7 linked regions of the Macaca mulatta genome follow. The protein of the gene in region 1 purifies or fractionates together with the protein of each later gene. This does not show direct contact. Links are inferred from orthologs where the notes say so. Each region holds a gene or a part of one and is shown in the gene's direction. Other genes may lie near its edges. The genes, in order: STX18, SEC22B, SCFD2, USE1, NAPA, SCFD1 and NBAS.

Region 1 (3,960 bases):
TGTGCATCCTCTTTATGGAAAAAAAAATCTTGAAGAAATCAATGAGATTTTGAATATCCTTAGGCCAGCCATGGTGGCAAGTGCCTACAGTTCCAGCTACTCAGGAGGCGGAGCCGCGGAGGATCGTTTGTGCCCTGGCGTTCCAGTCTGTAATGAGCTAGGATGGCGCCTCTGAATAGCCACTGCAATCCAGCCTGGGCAACATAGCAGACCCCCATCTCAAAAAACAACACAAAACAGAACCATGAACCAAAAATGCAGAAGAAACTCATTGACTGACTTGTCAATTTTAATAGCTATGGCTCAAGACGGTACAATTAAAAACTATGCATGAAGGAAGAACAGAATCCAGCGACATTAGGGCCACTCTTTCACCTTTGCCTCCATCTAAAGTTCCTATTCATCCTTCAAATCTCTGCACAGGTGACGCCTTTTCTCTACAGCCTCTTCCATCACCACAAATACGAGTGATTATAATAATATTATTAACGATTACTACCATTTATTGGCCACTTACTAGGAGCCAAGCAACATCAAAACACAGCACGCGTCAGCTCACTTAATTTTCACAGTAAACTCCGAGGAGGATGCTGGCTTCACTTTACAAAGAGGTGACTGAAGGGTGGAGAAGAAAGACCTCTGGCCTCTAGCTCTATGCCTTGCACATCTGCTCTGTCTCAGCACTTATTGCACCCCGAGGGTCACCGTCCAAGTGCCTCTGTCCTGCTCAAGGTGAGTCCTTGCAGTCAAAGGTCAAGGGTGGCTCGCCTCCACGTCCCCCGCAACCAAACCGCCCGCTCTCAGTGAGGGAGCCACCAGAAGGGAAGGAGCCTCCCAGCTTCCCGGTCCTCACGCTCCCGGAGCCCACACGCCCCAAAAAAGCACAGGAGAGCTCGCTGAGCTCTCCGCGCTGCTAAACCCTCCAAGCTTTGCCGGGAGAAAGAGGTGCCCGTGAGCTCGTCGCGGGGTTCCTCCTCCGCCAGGTGCGCCGCTGAGTTCGGAATCTTTTTCCTCCCGCCGCGGTAGCGGGGCTCAGGCCGGAACCTTTCTTCTCGCATCGCAGTTGCCGGTGGGGAGGAGTGCGGGGCAGGACCAGTCCTCCAGCGGCCGGGTTCTCGCCGCGGTCGCCGGCTGCTTACGTGAGCCGGCCCAGTGTGGGGCTGCGGGTACGGGTCGCTATGGCCGTGGACATCACGCTGCTATTCCGGGCCAGCGTCAAGACCGTGAAGACGCGGAACAAGGCGCTGGGAGTGGCGGTGGGCGGCGGGGTCGATGGAAGCCGGGATGAGCTGTTCCGCCGGAGCCCCCGGCCCAAGGGCGACTTCTCCAGCCGGGCCCGCGAAGTGGTGAGCTGGTTGCTATGGAAACGGCGGGTTGAGGAGGGGGCAGTCCTGCGACAGGGACCCCGAGCCCCAAACCACACCCCGTCCCATAAGCATTGTGTGAAGGAGGTGGCCCCAAGGGGGACAGGAGAGTTGGCCTCAGAGACCGGACAGCTTTTTGGGGAAGGAACAGCCTTATTTTAAGGAAGGGGGACGCATATTGGGGAACAGATTTCTCCTGCGGCGGCGGGGGTTGGGGGACGAGGAAGGAGACCCTCAGAAATCTCTATCTGGAAAGTGCACGGGCGGCTTTGTGAGGTCATGAGTTCGCCGTCACTACAGACTTGCACTCAGGGGAAACCTCACTGTCCTTCACTTCCTGTTGCAGAACTGACCACACCGTATTTGCCTGTGCTCTTTACTTGTCTGCCTCCCATCCCCAGATGAGATTAAAAACCATATTCATCCGAACTCTTTCTTCTCTTTGTCTCCGCGATAAGTAGGGCTCAGTTCCTCTTGAGACGAGTTTAGGGTCATCTTTCGCAAACACGGTGTTACAGTCATCTCAACTACTTTCTGTTCCCTGATCAGAGCAGGTGTCCCTTCATTTCTCTGGGAACAGGAACCTTTTCCTTAAGGGCAGGGACAGTTGTTTTCATCTCACAATGCATGACTCATAGCATTGCTTAGTAAATGTTTGTTGAATGAATGAATGAACAAAATGGCTGTCTTTCCCGTTAAACAGAAAATTCCATGAGGGGAGAGATGTTTGTCTTGTTCCCTTTTGTGTCCGTGACACCAAGGAGGGATCTAGGTTTTGTGGGGCCGAAAGTTTTTATAGTTATGTCTGCCGTCTTTAAGAAATAAAAATCACCAAGAGAGATTCAGAGCTTTGGAAGATGGAAGTGAGGGACCCCGAAGCTAAAACCTCATTAATTTCACAGTAAATCCTACTCTGCTTGGCATACACTTGGCACTGCATAGACACTCAGATGTTTTCGAATGAATGTATGCATGCATGCATTAATGACAGTTAGCAGAGGATACTTAAACATCAGAAAGGGGTTGGACCAGATGAATACACTCTCCCTATTGATGAACATCTATGAAGCACCTACTTTCTGACCAGCCTCATGTTAGAGTAATATGATGTAAAAGGAGTAGTGGAGTAGACGGACATAGACATAAAACAAGTGCCATAAAGCCTTGCAAGTGTTATGTAGGGCACAAAGAAGAATGTGGTCAGTTCTACCTGAGGATCAGAAAAGGCTTTATAGAGGTGATGATGCCCAAAACAAATCTTGAAAGAGGATTAGTTGGCTGCAGTGCAGAAGGGCATCTCAGGCTAAAAGAATAGTATGCGCTAAGATGTGGAGGTGTGTAAGAGTCTGATATAAGTTGGTTCAATAAACATTTGAGTGAGACTGGTATGTGGGACTCTCATAAAAATTGGACCGGGAGAGATCTTAAAGGGCTTTGTATATCACTGCGGAGTTTGAATTTTGCCCTCTAGGCCGTCAGATGTTATATGGTAGAGAAAGTACCAGAGAAGGAGCCAGGAGACCAGGTTGTTGTCTGAACCCTGCAACTGTTAGCTATATGATTTCATTAAGCAAGTGTCAAGACCTCAGTTTATTTACCTGTAAATGGTCTTTTTTTTTCTCCTCCTCCTTTTAAAAAACTACCCTGGTCCTCTATATATAACAAATTAAAGTGGAAGCTTCCTAGGCTGAAATGAGAGGAAGAGAAACAGGACACTCTCCCTCCCAGTTTGGCCTAAGCACTTCCTGGGGTTCCTTTTGTAGAACCGTGGTATGAATATCACAGTATTGGCGTTGTAAGGGTCCCTTCTGACTCTGAAACCACTGATTTATGAACACTGTGCTAATTTTGAGTCCTGCTCAGGGAAAGGGGGGATTTGGGAATGGTCGAGACAAGAGGCACAGTTGAGTTGGCAAGCCCTTTGGATAGCCCTGTGATCACTTCCACCGCTCCCTGAGTGGTGAAAATGTGTTTTAGACTTTTGAGTTAATGGGCCTCAGGGACAGTAACAGTCCTGTAGGGTGCTGAGTTCCCTGTCACTGGAAGTAATTAAACAGAGTGATGACTGCTTTTCAGAGATGTTTGAGAAGAACTTTGTGCATATGTCATAGGTTTGGACCGCGTGACAGTGAAACTTCCAATTCTGCTATGTATTGATGTGAGTAGGTGTCACATTACCTTAAGTGAGTACATGGGCTGTGTTGTTCAGGGACACTGTCCCCCTGACGTAGAGGAAACATACATTCTTGTAAGCAATTTTGATTTTGTGTTGTCATTGCTTTGCGTATTATCTCCTGTTCTTCCAACCATTCCCCACTCCCCATCTTCTTTTGTGGGAATTTTAACTAGAAGAGCTAGTGATGGATGTCCTGTGCTTTCACTATGATTAGATGTGTCAAAAGTTTGCCTGTTATTTTGTTTGGCCTGGATTCCTTATACAGAAAAGTCTGGTCAATACCAGAAGCACATATTCTAATTCAGGTTTAGCCCTGGTTGTCAGACTTAATGAAATGTAGTAAGTTATAGTATGCCTTTTGGTAAGTGCCTTCCTTGAAGCATTTGCTGTTACTTCTAGGATGCGTTTTAATCTGGTTCA
Region 2 (3,979 bases), on another chromosome or scaffold:
GGCTTTCCTCTCAACTACAAACTGGAGATACAATACTAAACAAGCTTACTGGGTTGCTTAATTAATATCTAGAATATACTTAACAGTGTTTCTATTAATGTGAGAACTAACTGTAAGCACTTAGTAAAGAGTAGTCATTATTAAGTAATGATAAATAAAAGCATTTGTATGATTCTTGTTTTAGCTTATGAAACCCTTGCACCTAGATTTTCTCATCTAATATTCATTAAAACCCTGAAAGGCCGATAATATCCCCACTGTAGAGATGGGGACACCAAAGAACAAAGAGATGGGAACACCTAGATATATAAGAGATCCTAGCTTTTTTTTTTTTTTTTTCTCTGTCACCCGGGCTGGAGTGCAGTGGGGCAACCTCGGCTCACTGCAAGCTCCGCCTCCCGGATTTACCCCATTCAACTGCCTCAGCCTCCCGAGTAGCTGGGACCACAAATGCCCGCCACCGCGCCCGACTAATTTTTGTATTTTTAATGGAGACGGGGTTTCATCCTGTTAGCCAGGATGGTCTTGATCTCCTGACCTCGTGATCTGCCCGCCTCGGCCTCCCAAAGTGCTGGGATTACAGGCGTGAGCCACCGCGCCTGGCCTGATCCTAGCTTTTTGTAGGCTGACTGACCTAGGTGGTAAAAGATGTCCTGTACTTGTTCATTTATTCACACATACAACAAATATTTATTGACTTCTTACCATAAACTATTTAAGGAGCCTGGTGGGGATGCCGCATAAACAAACAAGCAAAAATAGACAAAAATCTTTGTCCAGAAATACATATAGAAAATTTTATAGAATATATAACATAGAAAATAGAAAAAAATATGAAACTAGCCTAATTTTCAGGGTTTTCATTTTTTTTACATACCTTTCATGGTTAACGGTTAATGGTTAATGGGGAGTACCCATTAACTCCCACCCTCCTTCCCAGCTCTCTCCCAAGACTTAGTTTCAAGAACTAGAAAATTCTGATTCAGCTTGGGTGCAATGCCCCTCAAAGGGCGAGGCTTATTCGAAGCCCCAAATTCAGAAAAGCCGGCCAGACCTTGGAAGTTTAAGAAGGTGGAAGGCAGATCGCGGAACCAGTGTTCTGATGGTTGTGGTTCTCTGAGGGAAGCCAATTCTGGGGACCGGTAGTGGAAAGCTCTTGCGCTGTTTCCGGCCACCTCAGCGGGAAGCGGAGACGCAAGCAGCTGGATCTCCGGTAACTGAGACATAGGGAATAACTGTTGTCGCGGCGGAGGAAGTGAGGACGACACCAACGGCCTTCCGGGCCAGTGTTGGATCCCTGTAATTTGTGAAGATGGTGTTGCTAACAATGATCGCCCGAGTGGCGGACGGGCTCCCGCTGGCCGCCTCGATGCAGGAGGACGAACAGGTGAGCTGCTTACTAGATCCCCGCGACCCCAAGTCTGCCAGCGCGCTTTGCCCTCAGCATCGCATTCCTTCCTAGGGCCGAGAGACCTCTGTGACTTCTCGGGCACTCCCGACCTCTCTGAAGTGCTATTTTATCTTTTGGTGTGGGAGAGACTACCGGTGAGAGGAATCTTTCCTGAAGGAGTTGTTCAGATTTTTGTGTTACCTGTTTCTCTTTAGAAAAACGCTCTGGAGAAGTGATAGCTTTGGTTGATTGTGATCACCCAGTGTTCTTTGACTCTTTAGGGACTGTTAAAAATCAGGATTTCTAATTTTCTGCTGCTAATAGGACTGCTGACGGATAAATCCTGGGACAAATCAGCCAAGTTCTTCAACTCTATAACGTAGCACCTGATCCTTGACCTAGCTTGCTGACGTCTTTTGAAAGTGGGTGAGGTAATATTGCCACATAAAAGCACTTGTTAAAGTTCAGTACAGCACATTCTTTCAGGATTATTCCCAGTTCCCACCTTCTCCAATACGCCGTACCACATTCCTGCAATACATTGTAACTTATTTTTTTGTCTTTCAATAACTTGAGTTTCCTAGCGGGCAAACGACGGATCTTAATCATCTCTGTTATTCATACCTTTTACAATGGCTGCTTTATGCTAGTAGGTGCTCAAAAATATATTGAATTGATTAAAAACAGCAATAACTCCAGGCGTCTTAAAAGAAAGCTGTTTTGTGTTTTAGAATCACAGTGGAAATTTCTGAAGACAAATTTCTGGAGCAAGCTTGGGAGGTTCTGAAGACAAAACTGACAATGGAATTTATATAATTTGTTTAAAGTGATCAATTTTATTTTACTTTTTCATACAGTCTAAGTAGTGTTTTAAAACCTTGAGCCTTAAAAAAAGATGAGATATAGAAAAAATAGGTTGCACATTTCTTCTATTGGACTTTTCATTCATATATTAATGCAAAAAAAATTTTACTGAGCACATCAAATGTACCAGGCATAGTGTTAATGCAGGGGGTTAGAGTACACAGTCTCTACCTTTGTGGAGCTTACAGTCTAGTGGAAAAATCAGATAACCAATATACTATTAAAATGTAGTTTAACTGCTAAGGAGAAGGAAGAGGGTTTTGTCGAACATGGAAAATGTATCTAAGTTGGTTTTAGGAAATGAGGAAAGTCTTCCCAGAAGGTATGACATTAAGGTAACAGTAGGATCCAGTAGTAAGGAACTATTCTCTTTAGTTATATGCCTTTTTAGGTTTGATTTGGAAATGTATTTACTTTCACTTTTAGGAGAGTGGTGATACAGATAATCAAGTTGCAGGTCATGCTAAGTGAAATATATTCTATTCATTTCATAAAAACAAAGTCTAATCTTTGAAATAAACTGTGAACAATTTAACATACCCTGATTTGCTAATGTGAAATGTTTTTCAGGAATATTCTAGGACCATCCTGCAGAAGGAATGTAATTGTTCCAGTGAACCTAGGAATATGATTTGAACAAAGTAGATAGTGTAGGGAAATATCCTTGAAGGATGTGTAGTTTGACTAAAAAATAGTTTTCCTATAGTGGGTGGGTGTGTGTTGGGAGTAGCAGGGATGGAATCTGGTCAATTTTTAAACTATGGCATTGAATTCCAGTGTGGGCAAAGAATACAAAGTGAACTGGAAAGTCTACTTAATATTAGTGGCCCCTACTCTCTAACGTGATACTTTTTGAAAATTAATTGATTTATTGTTTTTTAATTCTAAATTTGGTATTGATTTCATATTGGTTTATCAAGATGGATGGCTTTGTTTAATTGACAAGGAAAGAAATTTTACACACAAATATTTTTGTGATTGTAGTGCCATAATATTTTCCTTTAGGAGTTTTGACTTTGAATAATAAAGTTTGCCTAAACTTTTAATGTCTGTAAAAATCTGAATCTTAGACTTAATTTACTATTTTAATAGTATACATAACATTTATAAAAGTGCCTACTACATACCAAACACTGTGCTAAGCCTATAAAGTGCATTTTTAAATTTAATCCTCATACTACCATATTAGAATAGGTACTATTAAAATCTCCAATTATAGATAAGGAAGCTCTGAGGTTTAGAGAGGATAGATCGCTTGCCTAAATTCACACAGCTAATAAGTGGCATAATGAAATTTTTCATCAGGGTTTGTCACCTTGGCACTGTTGACATTTGGGGATGGATAATTCTTTGTTCTTGGGAACTGTCCTGTATATTGTGTGGGAGGTCCAGCAATATCCCTGGCCTCTACCCTCTAGATGCCAGTAGTACCACCACCCTTCCCCACTTCGTTTGTTTGTGTGGCAACAAAAATATTTCTAGACATTGCTAAATGCCCCATGGGGGCAAAATCACCCCGACTGAGATCCAGTGATTTTTATTAAGTATTGTCTGAGTCGACTAGAGCTTTAGTGCCTAACCACTGTACTTTACTGCCTTGTTCTAAGGCCTTTTCATGATGCCTTAACCTCTTAGGAGTCCAGGAATCACTTTTTAATAAACAGGTATCTCAACCAAACAGTTTTATATTTAAGCACCTTAATTGTCCAGGCCAAATAATTCAAT
Region 3 (3,500 bases), about 72 Mb from region 1:
ACAGGGCTGGAATTGGGGAAAGTGAATGGACTACCAAGAAGGGGAGCTGTTTGGAATGATGGGAATGTTCTGTACTGTGACAGTAGTATCCAACCATATCCATTTGTCAATATTCATAGAACTGTACACTAGAAAAGGGTGAATGTTCCTGTATGTAGAAAATACCTTAATAAACCTGATAAAGAAATCAAAGTATTTATGAGGTCTTTTTTCTATGAGTACTTGAGCAAGCAAATTGTTAGCTTGCTGCTTTGAGAATCAGGAGCAAACCCATGCTTTACCAAGGGACTAAAGATACTCGTGAGACTCACTCTCCTACTTATCATTCCCACTGTTCTTTTTCTTTAAATGCTTACCCTGATAAACTGGTAATGAAGAACTTAAACATTCTTAATCTCTTCAAAAAATTAATGAAAAGATAGAAAGATATGTTGTAGGCATTTGAGTTTCATGTGGCGAGGTCTTTACTTTTAGCAAAAACCATTTATTAAGTAATATCTGCCATTTAGCACTGGGTAAGACATTGTGTTCTTAGCATGTCGGGCAGGGCTAGTAGACGCAGCACAAGCCTCGTTTGCTACCTCAAGGAGTTGCCATGAGAATCAGTAAAGGGTGTGTTTGTGTAAGCACTGTGTAAATTGCTAAATAAATGCAGGTGGTTTCATTGCCAAATATTTAAAAACCTCGGAATAACAAGCAAATAAACTTGGATTTCAGTATCAAAGAACAACCCACAAACATGGCGTGGGTGAAACATAGGAATGAATTACTTGGCTTACATCTATGTTTGGCCCCAGTGCCTTCTTGCCTGGTGGGGAGAATCTGGTGTCCAGGAGCTTTGCACATAGCATGGAGGAATGGCAGGAATGAAATTTCATAGACTGGAGAGTGGGAGGAGACTCAGTGGAAAGACTGCTACCGGCAAAACTTGGAGTTAGGGGCTCTGAAGGAGTGAATCCTCAACAGTTTGTGTGTTTGTAGATGTACATGTGTTTTATACAGTCTCTGTCCTTTTATGAAGTGGACTCTCTTGTTCTAAATGTAGGTGACCATTGTAGCAAATGTGCTGTTACCCACACCAAACTTTTCTTCTGATACCTCCTCTTCCAGTGGTTTTGCCGCCCTAGTTCTTGATACATTTTTGTTCCGTGTAACTGCTTTTATCCTCATGAATATTGTCATGAAGTCACTGATATCAGTGGCAAAGTTTTAGGTACAGTCATAACCTATTTCTCATCTTCTTTTATGTATATACACACACAATTAGAAATCATACCTTTTTCCCTCTTAGGTTGCTATGTCATATGTCATAAAGAGGTACTCCAAGTTGAGCTCAACAAATATTTATTTATATGACTTTATTTGAAAACTTATTTACAGAGTATTACATAATGATAAAATGAATTCTACTAGCAATATGACCTTGACCAGATCCTTAACTAACATCCCGGTTTCTTTACTTGCAAAATGCAACTATTAATAATAGTACCAATATTGCTCTTTTCACTATATAGTTGTAAGAATCACAATAGCTTAGGAAAGCTTGTAGTCAACTCTGATGTTCTGCCCAAATACAAAACAGTGGTATTATTAATGGAATCCTTCTCATTATTTGTACTATTCCCAGAAAGGGGTACACTGATAAATTCTTATGTTTTTCCAGGGAGAGTCACACCAGGACAGCTCATGTCCTATATTCAGCTCTTCAAGAACAACCTCAAAGCTCTAATGAATCACTGTGGGCTCCTCCAGCTTGGGCTGGCCACAGCTCAAACGTTGAAACACCCACAGACTGCCAAGTGGGACAACTTTCTCGCTTTTGAAAGACTCCTTCTTCAGGTATGTTGCTGTGGGTACTTCGTGGGATCTTAATAATTAATGTTTTGATTTCCAGGGAAAAACTTTGACATTTATTATAGCCTTAGTAATAAATCATATTGTTGACATGTGCCCTGCTTCATATTCTCTAAGTGCCCCCGAGTTAAAGTTCAAGTAGAAACTTTTTTCACACCTGTTTAAAAAAATATTTCGACAGTAATGTCTTTGGCTTCTTATTCAATACTAAGGATGTTTTTTGAGCATTGAACTAACCTCTGGAAACCTCTTTCAATTTTATGCCATTTGGACCTTTCTCGCTCTTCATGGTGTCTTTATTTGATCCTTGCTACTTTTTCTGTAGCATATTACTACTATTCACATTTCCTCTGACATTACCTAGTTTCTAGTCCTTAAGCAACACATAGCATGTGCCTTAAAATGGCGTTTAGTAAAAAATGAAGGAAGTGATCTCCATTTGTAGTGTTTATACAGATATTTGTATGTGGGATAGGAACTTTTCATGACTGATGAAATATTTTCATGGGAAACTTTTCAAAAAATATGTAGTATGTATTTTTTAAAATTATAAAGTAGTTTTTAAAATTATACAGTACTTTAAAAAGGGATAGAGGATTATAAAGCATAAATGTACTAAAACGATGAGTATCTGTAAACTTTCCACATAGACTCAATATGATTTATCATTATTTTCATATCTGTCATGGATCCTTTTTCATTAAAGAAATAAAACTAGAGATAAAGTTGAAGCATTCTTGATACTATATAACCATCTCTAATTTGATTTTCCTTTTTCTTTCCCTAGAGATAATTACAAGCTCAATTCGTTGTTTTTACATTTTTATTAAATATTTACTTTTTCATAAATAATATAGAGCATTTATGCTATAGGTTTTAATTTTACATAAGTGATGTTATACTATAAATATCCCTAAATAGCTTGCTTTTTTCTCTCAAGGTTCTATTTTTAAGATAATCCAAAGTGATGGGCTAGGTGCAGTGGCTCACGCCTATAATCCCAGCACTTTGGGAGGCTGAGATGGGCGGATCACTTGAGGTCAGGAGTTCGAGACCAGCCTGGCCAACATGGCAAAATCCTGTGTCTGCTGAAAATATAAAAATTAGCTGGGTGTGGTCGTGGTCATCTATACTCAGGAAGCTACTCGGGAGGCTTAGGCAGGAGAACTTCTTGAACCCGGGAGGTGGAGGTTGTATTGAGCTGAGATTGTGCCACTGCACTTAAACCTGGGTGACAGAGGGAGACTCCATCTCAAAAATAAATAAATAAATAAATAAATAAATAAATAAATAAAGTGATGTATGTAGATCTAGCTCATTCCTTTAAACCACATCATAAATATACAATTTATTTATGCAATCTGTACTGTTGTTTAGTTAGGCTGTTGCATTTGTGCCCGTGTGTGTGTGTGTGTGTGTGTGTGTGTGTGTGTGTGTGGTGTGTATGTATGTGAGATTAGGAAGAATTATGCAGTGAATACTCTGGAATATGTCTCCTGTTATATATTGTTGAGTTTACCAAAGATTGCCAAAAATGTTGAACCAGGTAAGGCTAAAAGCTGTGTCCTCTTCAGGATGTCAATGAGCTCCCTTCATTATCCCAGAATGTCTAAAATGTCACAAACATACATCAAGAGGCAGAAGAA
Region 4 (4,038 bases), on another chromosome or scaffold:
ACTGGTGTGACCAAGGTACAGATGATCTAAGGTATGGGAAAACATGAGGGCTGCATGCCAGGCCCTGGTCCCTGTGAAGCCCCCACCCTCATCCTCTCACTCCAGAAGCGTGGCACTGCAGGCATAGGGGTACTCAGCTTCCAGGTAATGAGGTGGGCTGGGAAGGGGTTCTCTCCACGGGGGTCTGGGCGTTAGGGGGGACCCAGCCCCACCTTGCTCACTCTGAGGCAGAGCTGCCCCATATCACCCTTGAGGCAGGTACTGTCACACTGTACATTTCCCGGGGGAAGAAACGGATCAAGAAAAGTTAAACTCGCCCAGGGCCGGGGATGGAATCAGAGCTGGAGCTGTGACCTGGAAGCTCATAACCACAATACAGATGAGCCCCGCTGAGGTGGGGGAAGCCTTGGATTCCTGAATTCCAGGCTAGAGCCCCTCCTACAAGAGAAATCGGGAAGGGCCCGCGGAGGTGAAACAGCTCCGACTGGGAAGAATCCAGGTAGTAGTGGGGTGGGGGGAGGTACTTCGAGCAAGCAAAACAGAACAAGAGGGCACAGTGCAGGGGGGTCTGACACCCGAAGATCCCGGTCGTCCTATCATTCCCGAAGGGTTAACACGCTCTCGAAGAAAAGGAAGTGATTCGCCTGAGTAAGAAAGAATGGGGTGGCGCCTCTCCTATTTTTTTTTTTTTTTTTTTTTTTTGAGACGGAGTCTCGCTCTGTCGCCCAGGCTGGAGTGCAGTGGCCGGATCTCAGCTCACTGCAACCTCCGCCTCCCGGGTTCACGCCATTCTCCTGCCTCAGCCTCCCGAGTAGCTGGGACTACAGGCGCCCGCCACCTCGCCCGGCTAGTTTTTTGTATTTTTTAGTAGAGACGGGGTTTCACCGTGTTAGCCAGGATAGTCTCGATCTCCTGACCTCGTGATCCACCCGTCTCGGCCTCCCAAAGTGCTGGGATTACAGGCTTGAGCCACCGCGCCCGGCCCTCTCTCCTATTTTTTTTTAAATAGAGGTAGGGTCGCGCTATATTGCCCGGGCTGGCCTCGAACTCCTGGCTTCAAGCAATCCTTTCCCAACTCCGCCTCCTAAAATGCTGGCATTACAGCCCTGAGGCAGCGCGCCCGGCCCAGCGCCCCGCCTCAAAACAAGGTATTACTTCTGCTCCAAACAAAGATGGGCCAGCGAACGGGAGCAGGCGAAACATCCGCCCGGAAGGCCACTTGAAGGCACTTCCGCCCTCTCTTAACATGGCGCCGGCGGAAGGGGCGGGGTAGGGCCGGGCGATAATGGCGGCGTCGAGGCTGGAGCTGAACCTGGTGCGGCTACTATCCCGCTGCGAGGCGATGGCAGCGGAGAAACGGGACCCGGACGAGTGGCGCCTGGAGAAGGTGAGGGGATCTCGCACTGCCGCGTAGAGTCCGACTCCCGGGGGGTGGTTCCTAGGGTTGGAAGCCACCTAGCCGGACTCCCCTGCCCCAGTAGCCTCTCGGGCAGCGCCCTTTCCGGTCAGTCCCGCCACGTCTACCTGTAGCTTCCGCCCCCGTCCCTGGGACTCCGCCCCTCCCCCACTGGCCCCGCCTCCTTTGCGCTTGACCCCTCCCATTTGTCGGCCCCGCCCCCCACTCCCATGAGCAGGACGTGGGAACGACCCCCGGGTGACAATCCACTTTTCCTCCCCAGTACGTGGGAGCCCTGGAGGACATGTTGCAGGCCCTGAAGGTCCACGCGAGGTGAGTGCAGGCAGCCTTACTGCTTTCACATCAGCACGTGGCTATTCTGGGACATCCCAGTACCGCTGTCCCAGCTGGGACCCTTCCCTGAGCTGGGGACCATGGACAGGCTTTCTTTTTCTTCTTCCTACCTCCCAGCAAACCGGCCTCTGAGGTGATCAATGAATATTCCTGGAAGGTGGATTTTCTGAAGGGGATGCTGCAAGCCGAGAAGCTGGTGAGAAGGGGTGCCCCTCCCCCTCAGCCCCCATCACCGCTCACTTTCGTCCCCAGGACCTGCCCCTCCAGTGACTTCTCTTCCCACATTTCTGCAGACCTCCTCCTCAGAGAAAGCACTGGCCAACCAGTTCCTGGCCCCTGGCCGTGTGCCAACCACAGCCAGAGAGCGAGTGCCCGCCACAAAGACGGTGCATCTGCAGTCACGGGCGCGGTACACCAGCGAGATGCGGAGTGAGCTACTAGGCACGGTAGGGCTCCTTTCCTGGTCCCTGGGAACCCCTTGGACAGGGACGGGGGTTCTATGCCTGCAGGCAGCCGGAACCACAATACTGTCAGATACAGGGGCTCTGAGGGGGTCCAGCAATCGCTTCCCTGGGTCATCACACAAGGCCGCCCAACAGAGGGGCACTGTGGCTAAGGCTTTGCTAGATGAATAGCAAATTTGGTACAAGGCAAAAATGGAACGTGTCAGGTTAAGCCCCAGAGTTGGCCCAAGAGCAGGGTTTGAGTCCTGGCTTGCAACTTACAAGACACGAAAGTTTCTTCAGCTGTAAGAGAAGATGACAAGTTCCTTTCTGAGCACTTTATGTGGATCAGCTCAATCTTTTAAAATATGAGTTGTTGTGGCGGGGCGCGGCAGCTCACGCCTGTAATCCCAGCACTTTGGAGGCCAAGGCGGGCAGATCATTTGAGGTCGCGAGTTAGAGACCAGCCTGACCAACATGGAGAAACCCCGTCTTTACTAAACATACAAAATTAGCTGGGCGTGGTGGCACATGCCTGTAATCCCAGCTACTCAAGAGGCTGAGGCAGGAGAATCGCTTGAACCTGGGAGGCAGAGGTAGCGGTGAGCCAAGATTGAGCCATTGCACTCCAGCCTGGGCAATAAGAGCAAAACTCCATCTCAAAAAATATATATATATGAGTGGTTGTTACCAGTTTATAGTTGAGGAAACAGGCTCAGAGGTCATGGGATTTCCCCATGTCCTGACTGAAGGTGAAAAGGTTGAGATCAGAAGGGACAGGTTTGGGAACAAGACAAGGGGGGTGACTTCATGGCATTTACTTTTTTTTTTTTTTTTTTGAGATGGAGATTCACTCTTGTTGCCGAGGCTGGAGTGCAGTGGGGCGATCTCGGCTTACTGCAACCTCCGCCTCCTGGGTTCAAGAGATTCTTCTGCCTCAGCCTCCTGAGCCATGGAATCACAGGCACCCCTACCACACCTGGCTAATTTTTTGTATTTTTAGTAAAGATGGGGTTTCATTACGTTGGCCAGGCTGGTCTCGAACTCCTGACCTCAGGTGACCTGCCCACCTCGGCCTCCCAAAGTGCTGGGAGTGAGCCACCGCACCCAGTCTCATGCCACTTACTTCTTTCCACAGGACTCTGCAGGTGAGTCACCATGAACACAACAGGACTTGAGGGCCAGCTGCCTAGGACAAGACATACATCCTTGCTGCCCTGGGGCCTCCATGCCCAGCCTGACTCCAACAGCAACATAACCAAATTACACGTGGAGGAAGAGCCAGGACAGAGGAAATGACCCCGAGAGGAAACAGAGCTAGGCACTCCTGCCGGGCACAGTGGCTCACACCTGTAATCCCGGCAATTTGGGAGGCTGAGGCAGGTGGATCACTTGAGGTCAGGAGTTTGAGACCAGCCTGGCCAACATGACCAAACCTTGTCTCTACTAAAAATACAGAACTTAGCCGGATGCAGTGCCGCCTGTCTGTAGTCCCAGCTCCTCAGGAGGCTGAGGCAGGAGAATTGCTTGAACCCAGGAGGTGGAGGTTGCAATGAGCTGAGATCACACCACTGCACTCCAGCCAGGGTGACACAGCAAGACTCCCTCTCAAAAAAAAAAAAAGGAAAAAAATTAGCCAGGTGTGGTGACGCACACCTATAGTCCCAGCTATTTGGGGGGCTGAGGCAGGAGGATTGCTTGAGGCTGGGAGGGGGAGGTTGCAGTGAGCTGAGATCGTGCCAGTGCACTCCAGCGTGGTTGACAGAGAAAGACTCTATCTCAAAAATAAGCAAATAGATAAATTTGTTAAAGCTAGGCACGCCCAGCCTATGGGACCAAGGCTAG
Region 5 (4,021 bases), on another chromosome or scaffold:
AGATCTTTGTGACTCCCGTTGTCACGACTTTAGCTGTAGCTCACATGCCCACCTATTTTCGGGGCGCTTGGCAAAAGAGGGGCCAGAGAGGGCAGTGGGAGGGGACGTGGCCAGAGGGAAGGAGCTGGAGGGTTGGTGCTAGATTTTGCTTGGCTGGAGTTTTCCTGCCATTGCCTGGCAGAAGCATGGAGTCCAGGATTTCCTGGTGTCCCTGGCTGCCCAAACCCCTGCCTCACGGCCTGGGGTGATGGCCCCACACACCCCCCACACACACACCCCATAGAGCCCTGCTCTGCTGTGGGCACCGGTGGTGGGCAAAAGCTTGGGCTTTGTCAGACCAGGTTCACATTCCCACCCCATGTCTCACCGTGCCCTGGGCAGGTCACTGCCCCCTCTGGATCTGTTCCCTCACTTTCAAAAAGGGGCTCACCGTTATTTGACCCTCTCAGGGTCCTCAAGAAGCACCAGCCCCAGGCCTGCCATGGAGGATGTGCTCATTTGTCCCCTGCCCCAGCTGAGCCAGGTGGGAGGAGGCAGTGGGTACCTGTCTGAGGAGCCTTCCCCCTCCACCCACCTCTCCCTGCAGCCGTCTCTGCCAGCCAGGCTGGTGCTGAGCTCAGCTGCGGGAAGGTACTGACAAACAGAGCCAGGTGACACCTGAGGCTAGAGGAGGGGCGCAAAGAGCTGACTCAGTATCACCAGACATCCCCAAGTCCCCTCGGCTGCTAGGCCAGCAGCTCTGAGGGCCCTCTTGTTACTAACTCATCCTCCCCCTTCCCTGCTGCCCAGCTGGCTGTCCAGAAGTATGAGGAGCTGTTCCCAGCTTTCTCTGATTCCCGGGAATGCAAGTTGATGAAAGTAAGTGCTGGGTGCTCCAGCCTCCCCCTTCCCGAACCCCAGATGGGGGTGGCCGGGGCTCCAGGTGGGACAATCATCAAGACTTGTCCAGTGGTTCTCAGAGGGTATGTTTATTTTGTTTTCTTTTCTTTGGCCATTTGACTCTCCATTTTTCAGATAAAGAAAGTACAACTTGGGGAGTGCTGGAGCTCGGGATGGCTGGGTGAACACACACACACACACCCCACATGCACATGACACACATCCCACACACACACCACACCACACACACTACGTACACCACACACTACACATACCACATACACCAAACACTACATACACTACACCAAACACTACACACACCACACCACATGCTACACACACACCACACACGACACACACCTCACACAATCACTACACACACCACACACACACACACGACACATTACACGACACACCACACACATCACACACGACACCACACATACCACACACGACACACACCCCACACGACATACCTCACACACATAACACACACCACACGACATACCTCACACACATAACACACACCAAACACACCACACACACACCAAACACCACAGACACACACACCACAGACACACCACATATCCACACACACACACATTCTGTGTGATGTTCTATGTTGGTAAGGTTGCCCTGAGAGCTAGCCGTTTCTGATGAGTAGGGCAGCAGGATTGCAACACGCCCCTACCTGTCCCCAGTTTAACCCACATGGACTGACCCTCTGAGAGTCCTCAGGAAACCCCAGCCCCAGGCCTGGCATATAGATAGTGTGTGCTTTCATCTAATCCAGGCCGACCTCAGGTCAGCCTGGGCCCCAGACCCCTCTCTGCCATTTCCTTGCAGAAGTTGCTAGAGGCCCACGAGGAGCAGAATGTGGACAGCTACACCGAGTCGGTGAGTGGCCCGCATGGGGGTCAGGCCCCTTCACAGGGATGGGTCCCCTAGGAAAGCCGCCCTTCTCAGACATGCTCTCCCCTGACATTCACCCATTTTTATCTGGCCCCCAGCCCACTGTGAATTTCTTTCTCCATTCACCCCAGAAACCTCACAAGTAGCCCCAAGAGATGCAGGGAGTGTTTTCCCCATTTTACAGATGGTGGCCTTGGCACCTCAGGGGCAGAGCTGGTGTTCAGAGCCACATCTGTCTGCTCCTGAAGACCAGGGTTCCTTGAGTCCCCCAGTTGAGTGTGTGAGACTCACAGTGGCCGCCTTGGGCACCCAGGAGGCACAGACTGGGAGGGAAAGGGTGAGAAGGAGAGTGGAGCTGAGGACACGGGAGAGGCGCCAGCTTCCCTCTGCCTGGTGGAGCCGCCCACGTGGCTCTCTCTCCCTTCCCTTTCTCTGTTCCCAGCGTTCCTGGGCTCAGTGGCGTCCGGCTTATAGGTCCTGATTCGCTCCTCTAATGGCACATGTCAAGCATTTCTCCCCAGGTGCCCCTTGGGAATGGAAGCCCCTAGCTGAGGACAGCGAGCAAATGCCATCCGGTTCCTCTTGCCCCGGACAGTGGGTGGCAACTCAGCCAGGAGCTCAGGGAGGGGATGCCCAGCAGGCTGCGGCTTCTCTCTCCCATGCCCCATGGCACTCAGGAGTGGCCTTTTCCGTATCTCCAGGCCTCAGTTTCCCACCCATTCAATGAGGATGCTGGACCTTTTTTTTTTTTAAAGCTACAATCCCTCTCCCCCAAGGGAAATGTTGTGCCTAGCATAGTCAAGACAGACAAGAAGGAGCTCCCCTGGCTGAGTCGGGGCCTCGAGCCCTCCCTCTGCTCCTTCTCAGAGACCAGGGTGACAGGGACAGATCTTGAAAACCTTCAGACAAGTGCCCTTGGGCTGCAGGGTTGGGAACAGGGAGGAGCATGGCCAGCCCATCACCTGGTGTGCCCTCAGGTGAAGGAATATGACTCCATCTCCCGGCTGGACCAGTGGCTCACCACCATGCTGCTGCGCATCAAGAAGACCATCCAGGGCGACGAGGAGGACCTGCGCTAAGCCCCACCCAGCCTCCCAGCGCCCGTCTTCGTGTCCCATCTGCTTAGAGAGAGGTGGGGCCGAGACTTGCTGGAGAGCTTCCCTCCTTTCCCACCTGGGGAGTCCCGCAGGCCACAGTGGGCAGGTGGCAGCGGGGGTCAGCATGCGGGGGCACCAGAGGCCCAGGCTGCTGGCTGGACAGTCACCCTCTGCTCTCGCTACATCCCTTGCTCCCTGCCCATTTATTTAAGCCCCCATAGGTGCCCTTCACCCCCAAAACCAGCTGTACAGAATCTTTGATACAGACCTATTTGCTAGGGGTGCTGCCGGGGGTTTGGGGTCAGCATCTGGCCCCCCATCTCCTGACCAGCTGATTCATGAGGCCGGTTTCTGTCTCTCCCACTTTTGTCCCCCAGCCAAGCTCTAAAGCACATGTAGCCGCTGAGACTTGCTGTCTCTACGGGGGGAAGCTCCTCTTCCCCCAAACTCTGGGAGCTTCCCCCAGCCTCCTGCAGCCCCGACCTCTCAGGTTAGACCCCGGGCCCTGGAGCTTAGGGGGTTGTCCCCGACCCCAGCCCCACACCTGCTCCTTCCCTAATGCTTTGAGGTTTTCTTGGTTGGAAGCTGCAGCTGGCCCGAGAAAGAAAATAAAAAACAACACTTTTGCATGAGTCTCTCTTCCTCCTTGTCTCTGCTACCCACTTTGCCCCTGGGCCGGTCACCTGTTCTCCTCACACTCCTGGTCCCCCAGACTCTGGGCAAGCTCTTGGGAGGTTGGGAGCATGCATCCTTGAAACACGTGTGGGCTGGGTCAGTTTCTAGGTTGGGGAGACCCAGGGATGGTGGGCCTGGGGAGGAGCTCTGGCTTGGAAGTCCCAGAGCGCCCATCTTGATCTAACTTTCTCTGGGTTCTTGGGGTCCAGGGACCTTGGTTTCCTCAACTGGGATGCATGGTGATGATGCCACCCCTCAGAGCCAGTGGGAGGGTCGAATATGACAATCCTCATGACTGCTTTGGATGAGAATGGGTGGAAGCTCGCCGAATCTCCCATGTCCACATTTCCCTGGCAGGAAGGCTGAACGCCCCGGTGACAGTTGTTCCATCTGTCACAGGACGGGGGAGGAAGCGGCTTTGGTGGGCAGAGTCTGAGGCCCGAGTGGGTCTGGGGAGT
Region 6 (4,252 bases), on another chromosome or scaffold:
ATTATGTAATTCTTAAAAGGTAAAGATTGTAGGTCGAATGCTAGGATGTTTCCTAATAGCATTAAAAATAAGATAACCTATTTTAAATGTCACAAAAATAAAGTTTTTATTAATGAAAAAAGCCATTGTTTCACACTATAAAACAGTCTTACATAATCGTTAGGCTAACTTCATTTCATTTATATAATTTTGAAAGTCAAGTTTTTGAGGCAGAGTCTGATTTCATTTCAGAATTTGGTGCAGCTTCATAATGAAGTGTCATCAATGAACTCGGGAAATGAGCTGTCATTGTGTATCCATTTTTGTCATACAGTAAAATCTATAGATTAAGTTAGAAATCCCGTAAATTTTGTGGTCATGTGGCTTCAAGTGTACATTAAACAGCCAGCACAAGACCAGCCTGGCCAACATGCTGAATCCCCGTCTCTACAAAAAAAAAAAAAAAAAAAAAAAAAAAAAAATTAGCTGGGCGTGGTGGCACCTGTCTGTAGTCTCAACTACTGGGTTGGCTGAGGTGGAAGGATAGTTTGGGAGGATTGCTTGAGTCCAGAAGGTCGAGGCTACAGTGAGCTGAGACTCTGCCACTGCACTCCAGCCTGAGCGACAGAGTGAGATACTATCTCAAAAACAACAACAACAAAAAACCAGCACATCAGCCTGTCCTGATGGTGTGCCGCTGTAGTCCCTTGCTACTTGGGAGGCTGAAGCAGGAGGATCGTTTGACAGTCGGAATTTGAGGCTGCAGTGAGCCCTGATTGCGCACTTGAGCCTGGGCAACTTCCTTCCCACGGCAATGTGATTTTGCAATTACTACAAGGAAAGAGGAGAGATGCTAATTTCTCATTTTGTACCTCCCTGGATCCCGTGTCCATGCCGGCAGAACGCCACCATAAAGCTAGACCCTTTTTTTTTTTTTTTTTTTTAAGAGATGCGACTGAGAAATATGCCAGATTAGAGTGAAGCTCCAATGCTTTCTGTTTCTCTGGAAAAAGGAGCAAAGGGAAGACTCCTGCTGCACTGAGAAACTAGAGCTAACGTTAAAATGTTGCCTGTGTTTCAGGAGCTTCATTTACTTCAGTCCTGTGGTCCTTATACTCCTAGAGTATTATCACCCCGTCAGTGCTCTGTAAGCCACCAAGCCAACAGTTCAGTAATTAGGTTCTTAGCACTACACGCTCCTACCCTAAGAGTTCAATTTAATGTTGCTACCATTTGAGAGAGTGTGGCTTGATAAGACAGGATAAAAACTCGTAGTATTCGGCTAACATTACGGGCCACTGAGTTAACCTGCACCGGCTCTCCCAGTTCTATCGAGAGTGGAGGTCTTCCTCGAGGAGGTGGAGTCCGGCCCTCAGGCACGCCCTTTTGCCCCGCCCTTCCGGGCTTTGCTTCCGGGGCGGTAAGGGCAGCCACGTCATCCCCCGGCTCCGCTCGCCAGCCGGGCAGTGGCTCGTGGGAGTCAAGATGGCGTCGGCGGCGGCAGCGACAGCAGCAGCAGCCAGTATTCGGGAAAGGCAGACAGGTACTGACTTACTCTCTTCTTGAAGCTTCGTGACTGCCCCGACGACATTCTTCTCCTGTGCTTGTCGCCCTCACTCGGTCGTGGTGCGTGCAGCTCAGAGAGCGATCTCCGGGAGTTTAATCCAGTCCCTAGAACATCAAGAGCCCCTCCCCTTTGAGTTTTTGGGGAGAAGATGCCATTAGCTTGACTCGGTTCCTCCTGTGGTGCAGGAGAAGGAGCTTTAGCGGTGGGCAGATTGCTATGGCCTTGCTCTTGTCTCCTTCCTAGTGGGCATCAGAAGGCCATCACAACAAGATCTAGCAGCAGATAGCTTCTTATCTATGTTGCCACCTATGAGGTCTCCGAGTTTGTTTCTGTGCGTGGTTCAGTTCTGGTTTTGATTTTTGAGAGAACTCCCATTTTCTGGCACTTCCACCACAATTACAGAATTTAGGTATTTTCACAGCGGCCTGCTTTGCGCCACTTCTCTACTTCGGACCAGCCTTTTGGGGGTACCTGCAGAAAAATGCCTGGTGATAAAAGATTTTCTCCTTCACCTTGCTGGAAGGCATTGAGGAATTGAATTAATAGCTTTCTCATTTTAATTGTTTGACAGATTATTGTTTTAAAATAATATTTTATCTTCAATAGAGCATGTTTATATAGCTTGTATTTATGCAGAGAAATGTAAGAAGCTACATATTCTTGAGTTTTGGGGTTTTTTCCCTCTTAGAAATTAGTTTTGCCTTATTTGAAAACTTACGACAACTTGGTTTATACCTGTGAGCTACAAACTAAAGGTTGAACTAGTTGTCTTAAAAGTTTTCAAGCCATTTATTCTGAGGAGCTAATAGAAATAAGGCGTCAAGCATGTGCATACTTGGAATTCTGTTTGCTGAAATTATGCCCTGTTGGATATAAATATGAATAGAAAAATGAATTTATAATTCATATGACCTACAGAAGGAATTTGGGCTGTACTTGATTCCTTTCTTTGGCATTTAAAGAAATTAAAGAAAAATGTTAGACTTCAATCTAGTAATGACACACAAAAGATGCTGAGTTGCGTTCTGCTTTTCCCAGTAAATAATTTAGTGTAACCTATCAGGTGAAGTCAGGCATAATCAAATATAGGGAAGTTCAAATAAGATTTGGGGCATACCTGCCATTCATTGTATCTGTTTAAGCAAATAGAAGCTCCATTTGTTTTAATGCTGTGTTTCTGATGACTATACTACATATTAAAATAACGTGTCAGTGAAACTGTACCAATACAAGAGAGCTTTTTGAAAAATAAATTTGCATGGCAGTAAACTTGTATGCAGAAACTTTGTAGATCATTAAAATCTAATCGTTTGTATTTCTGCAGAAATGAACATAGTTGAGATTTTACAGAATTACTAGATAGATTGTGCTAGATCTATTCTTTATCATATTTTTACTGTCATTGAATTCTGCCTCATTTTCAGAGGAAGGTAAATCCTTGTGTATATATTGTAATACAGAATTAGCTATTTCCCTCATGCCTATTGAGAATGTTTTGGGAAATAACTCACAATCCTCAAATATTCTCGATACTGAAATATTTGGGTGGATGAGATAATTGTTAGCATTTATTGAGCATTTACTATGGTTAGGCATTGCTTTAGGTGATTATGTATTATTATCTCCATTTTACAGGTGAGGAAAGTAAGATAGAGGTAAACTAACATGCCTGTTTCTTGCTTTGCCTGCCTGAAAAATCTTTATTGGTCTTTTGAATGTCATCCCACAAGCTCACAAGCTATCTCCTTTCTTCCAGGTTTACTGTCCTCTCTATCCATACCTTCAGTTCAACAGGTAGAATCAGTTGCCTCCTGCTTTGTGTTACTGTTGTTCTTCATTGAATGCGTCTTCGTTACAAGTTCTTGCACATCTTCCCTGCTTCTCAATGTTGCTGGGTCCCATTAGTGTTAGCATCTAGCAACTTAGCTTTCAGTATTCTCTATGTTGATGATTCCCAGGTTTATATCCCTAGTCTGGCCCTCCCATCTGAACTCAGTCTGCTCCATATCAGTTAATGGCAGTTGCATCCTTTTAGTTGCAGGTCAAAAACCTTGAAGTTTTCTTGACTTGTCTCTTTCATGTCTCATGTAAGATCTTTCAGTAAATCTTGTCAGTTCTACTCTGAAAATACATCCAGGATCTGACTGTTGTCATTGCTATTTCCAGATCCTATCCACTATGAATTTCTGCAATAACCTATTTGGTCTCCTTGCTTTTACGATCCTGTTCTCCTTCGTTATTTTTCACACAGTACCCAAACTGATCATGCCATATGTTTGCTCAAAGTCTTCCAGCTTCTTCCCATTTCAACCATGATAAAAGCCAAAGTGATCTTACAGTGTTCTACAAGGCCTTACTTATATGATCTGGTTCCCATGTAGCTTTTGGACCTCATTCCCTATTTCTCTTCCCTCTCCTTGAACCCACCAGGAATGCTCCCACCTTCGAGCCTTTGTATTTGTTTCTTCTTTGTGGAATACTGTTTCAGAGAGAATCTCCATGGCTCACTCCCTCATTTCCTTTAGGTCTTTACTCAGATGTTACCTTCTCAGGAGGCCTTCCCCAATTACTCTGTTTAAAATTACACCCCAACTCCATCTTCCTCTTTCCCAATCTTACCTTTCTTCATAGCACTTACCATGATCTACATTCCATGTGTTTTACTTATTATTATCTTTTTTTTATTTTCCCTATCCCCCAATTAGA
Region 7 (4,230 bases), on another chromosome or scaffold:
TGGATATTATGAAATATAATTATCTCAAGGGATATTCAATATTTGTTTCTTTTGATGTAAAACAGTGTAATACTTTGTACAGTATATATTCATTAATGTTACAATAGGCTCTGCTTATAACTGTCCACAAAGAGGTATTTGTGGAATGAATGAATGAATGAACAAATGGGGTTGACCTTTTCACTCCCTCCATGCAGGTTCTCAACCTATTATTTAAACTTTATTGCCCCTACACCCTTTCTCAACTTGGGTTCTATTCACCTGTCTTGTTGAGTACTAATTAGGAAAAGAAAAAAAAAAAAAAAAAAAAAAAAAAAAAAAAAAAAAAAGGCAGGCTAGTGGGAGCAGGAAAAAACAAAGAGATAAGGCAAGTAAGCATAAGCTATACATCTGCCTTTCTTCATGGTCCAAAACATATAAACAAAAGGAAGAAACAAATAAGCCATAGGTCTACTTTTCTTTATGGCCCAAGACATATGGCTCTTCTAACCAGATAACGTACTTAACTCACAAACTTCCTGCTTACCTTCAAACGCCTCTATTTATCAAACACTTCGGTTGACAAAAAAAAAAAAAAAAAAAAAAGGAAAAAAAAGCAAGTTAACTCCCTGCTAACTTGGTGTTATCAATCACTCCAAGTTCCAGTCTATAAAATTCTCAACAAGCCTTTGTTTCCTAGCAATGAGCTCCTCCTCTGCTGATTCTGCGCGCTGTTCCCTGGCAACGATCTTTCATACTTTCTTTAATCTGTCTTTTTTTATCTACTACTGTCTTGGTAAATTCTTTTACTCCCACACCCAGAAAGTCGTCGCTCACTCGCGACACGTTGAAAGAGTTCTTTCAACTCTGTACTTTTGCCTCTGTCTCTGCTCATCCCATTTCCCCCTACTTGAAATGCTTCTCCAGTGGATTAACATTCTGCCAGTTGTTAAAGACCTAGGGACAAGCTCCACGTCCTCTAGGAAATCCCTGCAGACTCTGGCCTTCGTTGCCTTTTCTGAGCGCCCGTAGCATCCTTCCTCTGTTACCTTTCATTGGCTTGATCCCCTGCATTGGATAACTTTGGTGGCTTATTTTAAAACCACTGTTTGAACTCTCTCTACGTGCTAGGCAAAGAATACACAAATGAACATTAGCATTTCAGTGGGGTACCTTTACCGTTTCTGTTTTATAGAAACTGACTTGATAAGACAGGCTCAGTGACTTGGCTGATCTCACGTAGATTAATTAACAAGGAACGCACCAGGACTGGGACACAAGTCGTTCCCAAGACAAGCAATAGTCCTTGTCCTTCCTACTCATAAAAGGGTTAACCTAGCATTTCCTTGCCGCGGTCAGGGTCAGTTCACTCCACTCCCTTCCCCGTGAATCAAAAGCGGCCGCGGCTAGGGAAGCTTGTCCTGTGAGGGATTCCGTAGAGGCGCTCCTCCACTGCTTGAGTCCCGGGCGAACATGGCGGCCCCCGAGTCAGGGCCGGCTTTGAGTCCAAGCGCTGCAGAGGGTGAGGAGGAGACGATTCTCTATGACTTGTTGGTCAACACCGAGTGGCCACCGGAGACTGAAGTACAGGTGAACCAGGCCCGTCTACAGCAGCAGCCAACTTGACGCGGGCGCTTCGTGGGCAGAGCCACGTAGCAGGAGCCACGTAGGGGAGTGAAGCCGGGTGGGCGGGGGGCCTGATGGCTTGTGTGGTCGCCCTGGCAACGGCACCTTGGGCTACCGGGGGTCTGGGGCTCCTAAGGCGGGGTGGGGTCGTGGTCCCTGAGATTCCTCCTGGGCTCAGAATTCGGTTTTTGGGGGCTGGAACTTCGTGTTCTGCGGAGCGTAGGATCCCACTCTGGTTGTTAGTTTCTCTCTGTTTTCGGAGGGGTGCAGATTGTTAGTTTCACTCTCTGTATTCGGAGGGGAAGGCACAGCGCTGGACTAAAGGGTCCTTTCTCCTACCTGGACTCTCGGTGGTCCCTTCTCGCAGTCTGGCTAGGGCTAGTACGGGCGGACGCTTAACGGTGTGAGAATTTTCCAGGACCTTACAGTCTTCAGCATCTGGCAGGCTGCTGCAGAGTGCGGAATCTGAGCCTTTACAGCTACCTGGGGCTGGATCGCGCCAGTTCTTGTGTGTAACAATAAAAGAGCATTTAATAAGGGTGTGCGTGTCCGTTCGTCCGTCTCGGTGTCCCAGATGCTGTGCTAGGTGCTGAGGATACAGAGATAAATATGCTTTCGTGGAGCTTCTCCTCTAGAGGGGAGACAATCCTGTAAACGTTATTCATAATCTAGCGTTTTATGCGCTATAGTTAGCGATGTGAGCAAAATGCCACGGAAGTGAAGGGTAAAGAACTGCTGACTGGGATTGGGATCTCCGCTAGAGAAGGATTATAGAGGTTGATAATTTATAGACTGGATCTTGGGATTATCAGTTATTTGGTAGTGAGGGCCTCCCGGGTCTGTGGTGAAGAGTAGGAACCACGGATCCATGTTTATTTAATAGATATTTATTGAGTGCTTAACACATGCCAGTTACTGTTTTGGACCCAGAGGAAGCAGCCAGATCGAAAAGAACCTTTATTAAAGATTATGTAGTCCAGCCCATATGAGTTATCTTACATTTTTTTATGAGTGTTTCTTTGCTGGAGAAACGACTCATTTTTCAGCCTAAAGTTTGTATTTTTTTCCCCTGTAGCCTCCTTCCCACTGCAGTTTGTGCTTATTTTGAATAATGTATTTTGTAGAACGGGTAGAGATCTGCATGTTTTGCCGTTTAATTTCAAGTGCTTAATTTGTCTTAATGTGAATATTTTTTGGGTTATGCAGCTAGGAAGGTGTTGCTGCGGCAGCTGGTTAGATAAGTTTCCACTCCTTAACACTCATTGGTTAATTGCAGTAATGTTTCAGAATGCTTAGCATAAATTGATTCCAAAAAAGTAACCACAGAATTAACTTACTTTGAAACCCTTAGCACTTTGTTTTGTGTTTATGTGTTGGGGGTGGGGGAATTCTATTGATTTCTGCATTCTATCGATTTCTGCATTCTATTGATTTCAGCTGTTGAACTATAAGCTCTTGGAGGGCAGCTACATCTGATTCATCTTTATATCTCTCCCCAGGGCCAAATTGTGCCTTGCATGAATCCCACCATCAATTCTTGTTTGTTGAGTGAAATAACTTTTCTGTTTTTTAAAAAATCTGTCTACACTTACTGTGTGTCCATTGTGCTTTTCTTGACAGCACTGTAGTGCACCTTATGCAGTGCCTAGTGTCATGAACCTACCCACAGTGTGTTCAGTCTATACTTATGGAATGGAATTATTTAATATAGCAATTACGTATCGCTGTATGTTTTGTTAGTAGCATTGTCTGGATGGATATACAACAGATAGTCAATGAATTTGCCTTGGAGATATGACCACTTTTCCTGTGAGCAAAACTTACAGCTTCAATAGAGTGTGCTGAATTGGCAACCAGTGTGGTCTTTGGCCTTGACTTCTCTTGTCTTTGGATTGGTATTTGATTTGGAAACAGTTTCTAGCTTCAATCTTTGTTCTTACCTGCAAGGTTAGTCCTGACATGTGCCTGTAGCTCTGCTATGCTCCCTTTACTCCTATTGTCCCCCATCCTGAGTCTACCTTTTTCTTTTTTTTTGAGACAGGGTCTCACTCTGTCACCCAGGCTGGAGTGCAGTGGCATGATCAGGGCTCACTGTAGCTTCAACCTCCCAGGTCACCTCAGCTTCCCAAGTAGCTGGGACTATAGGCACGCACCGTCATGCCTGGCTAATTTTTGTATTTTTTGTAGAGACGAGGTTTTGCCATGTTGCTCAAGCTGGTCTGGAGTTCCTGGGCTCAAGCAGTTGGCCCACTTTGGCGTCCCAAAGTGCTGGGATTACAAGCGTGAGCCACTGCACCTGCACATTCAGTCTTTAAGTAGTTTTAAGACACTGCTTCCCTGTGCCCAAAACTCTGGATATTAGTAAATAAAAATAAGTTTACATTATATAAGCAATACTAGTCTAATACTAGAGGATTCAAATGTAAGGGCTTTGTTTTAAATTCCAGCCTAGAGGCAACCGAAAGCATGGTGCATCCTTTATCATCACGAAAGCAATTCGAGGTAAATATAGCTTATTTCTCTACAGTAATGATATGGTTAACAGTTAAAATGTGTTCTTTAGACTTCTGGTGTGGAGACTAATAAAAGTGACGTGTTATCTGAGTTTAATTATATATATATATA

What was found.
Region 2: the proteins of STX18 (region 1) and SEC22B purify together in Homo sapiens (affinity purification with mass spectrometry; 5 studies listed by BioGRID and IntAct, counting the BioPlex papers as one, with this or other methods). This does not show direct contact. The link is inferred for Macaca mulatta from reciprocal best matches to the Homo sapiens genes STX18 and SEC22B.
Region 3: the proteins of STX18 (region 1) and SCFD2 purify together in Homo sapiens (co-immunoprecipitation; 3 studies listed by BioGRID and IntAct, counting the BioPlex papers as one, with this or other methods). This does not show direct contact. The link is inferred for Macaca mulatta from reciprocal best matches to the Homo sapiens genes STX18 and SCFD2.
Region 4: the proteins of STX18 (region 1) and USE1 purify together in Homo sapiens (co-immunoprecipitation; 4 studies listed by BioGRID and IntAct, counting the BioPlex papers as one, with this or other methods). This does not show direct contact. The link is inferred for Macaca mulatta from reciprocal best matches to the Homo sapiens genes STX18 and USE1.
Region 5: the proteins of STX18 (region 1) and NAPA purify together in Homo sapiens (affinity purification with mass spectrometry; 4 studies listed by BioGRID and IntAct, with this or other methods). This does not show direct contact. The link is inferred for Macaca mulatta from reciprocal best matches to the Homo sapiens genes STX18 and NAPA.
Region 6: the proteins of STX18 (region 1) and SCFD1 purify together in Homo sapiens (affinity purification with mass spectrometry; 5 studies listed by BioGRID and IntAct, counting the BioPlex papers as one, with this or other methods). This does not show direct contact. The link is inferred for Macaca mulatta from reciprocal best matches to the Homo sapiens genes STX18 and SCFD1.
Region 7: the proteins of STX18 (region 1) and NBAS purify together in Homo sapiens (co-immunoprecipitation; 5 studies listed by BioGRID and IntAct, counting the BioPlex papers as one, with this or other methods). This does not show direct contact. The link is inferred for Macaca mulatta from reciprocal best matches to the Homo sapiens genes STX18 and NBAS.

Annotation. Positions count from the first base shown.
Region 1 is NC_133410.1:8,445,765-8,449,724, forward strand, and holds the start of STX18 (syntaxin-18), read left to right. Parts: upstream 1-1,160; 5' UTR 1,161-1,178; coding exon 1,179-1,346; intron 1,347-3,960. UniProt on the Homo sapiens protein: Syntaxin that may be involved in targeting and fusion of Golgi-derived retrograde transport vesicles with the ER.
Region 2 is NC_133406.1:120,112,247-120,116,225, forward strand, and holds the start of SEC22B (vesicle-trafficking protein SEC22b precursor), read left to right. Parts: upstream 1-1,179; 5' UTR 1,180-1,312; coding exon 1,313-1,387; intron 1,388-3,979. UniProt on the Homo sapiens protein: SNARE involved in targeting and fusion of ER-derived transport vesicles with the Golgi complex as well as Golgi-derived retrograde transport vesicles with the ER.
Region 3 is NC_133410.1:80,243,676-80,247,175, forward strand, and holds part of SCFD2 (sec1 family domain-containing protein 2), read left to right. Parts: intron 1-1,663; coding exon 1,664-1,839; intron 1,840-3,500. UniProt on the Homo sapiens protein: May be involved in protein transport.
Region 4 is NC_133424.1:17,695,893-17,699,930, forward strand, and holds the start of USE1 (vesicle transport protein USE1), read left to right. Parts: upstream 1-1,238; 5' UTR 1,239-1,285; coding exon 1,286-1,387; intron 1,388-1,679; coding exon 1,680-1,729; intron 1,730-1,867; coding exon 1,868-1,946; intron 1,947-2,043; coding exon 2,044-2,196; intron 2,197-3,331; coding exon 3,332-3,341; intron 3,342-4,038.
Region 5 is NC_133424.1:59,984,924-59,988,944, reverse strand, and holds the end of NAPA (alpha-soluble NSF attachment protein), read left to right. Parts: intron 1-789; coding exon 790-858; intron 859-1,725; coding exon 1,726-1,776; intron 1,777-2,768; coding exon 2,769-2,870; 3' UTR 2,871-3,521; downstream 3,522-4,021. UniProt on the Homo sapiens protein: Required for vesicular transport between the endoplasmic reticulum and the Golgi apparatus. Together with GNA12 promotes CDH5 localization to plasma membrane.
Region 6 is NC_133412.1:103,727,383-103,731,634, forward strand, and holds the start of SCFD1 (sec1 family domain-containing protein 1), read left to right. Parts: upstream 1-1,452; 5' UTR 1,453-1,464; coding exon 1,465-1,522; intron 1,523-4,252. UniProt on the Homo sapiens protein: Plays a role in SNARE-pin assembly and Golgi-to-ER retrograde transport via its interaction with COG4. Involved in vesicular transport between the endoplasmic reticulum and the Golgi.
Region 7 is NC_133418.1:109,389,325-109,393,554, forward strand, and holds the start of NBAS (NBAS subunit of NRZ tethering complex), read left to right. Parts: upstream 1-1,430; 5' UTR 1,431-1,452; coding exon 1,453-1,569; intron 1,570-4,052; coding exon 4,053-4,107; intron 4,108-4,230. UniProt on the Homo sapiens protein: Involved in Golgi-to-endoplasmic reticulum (ER) retrograde transport; the function is proposed to depend on its association in the NRZ complex which is believed to play a role in SNARE assembly at the ER. Required for normal embryonic development.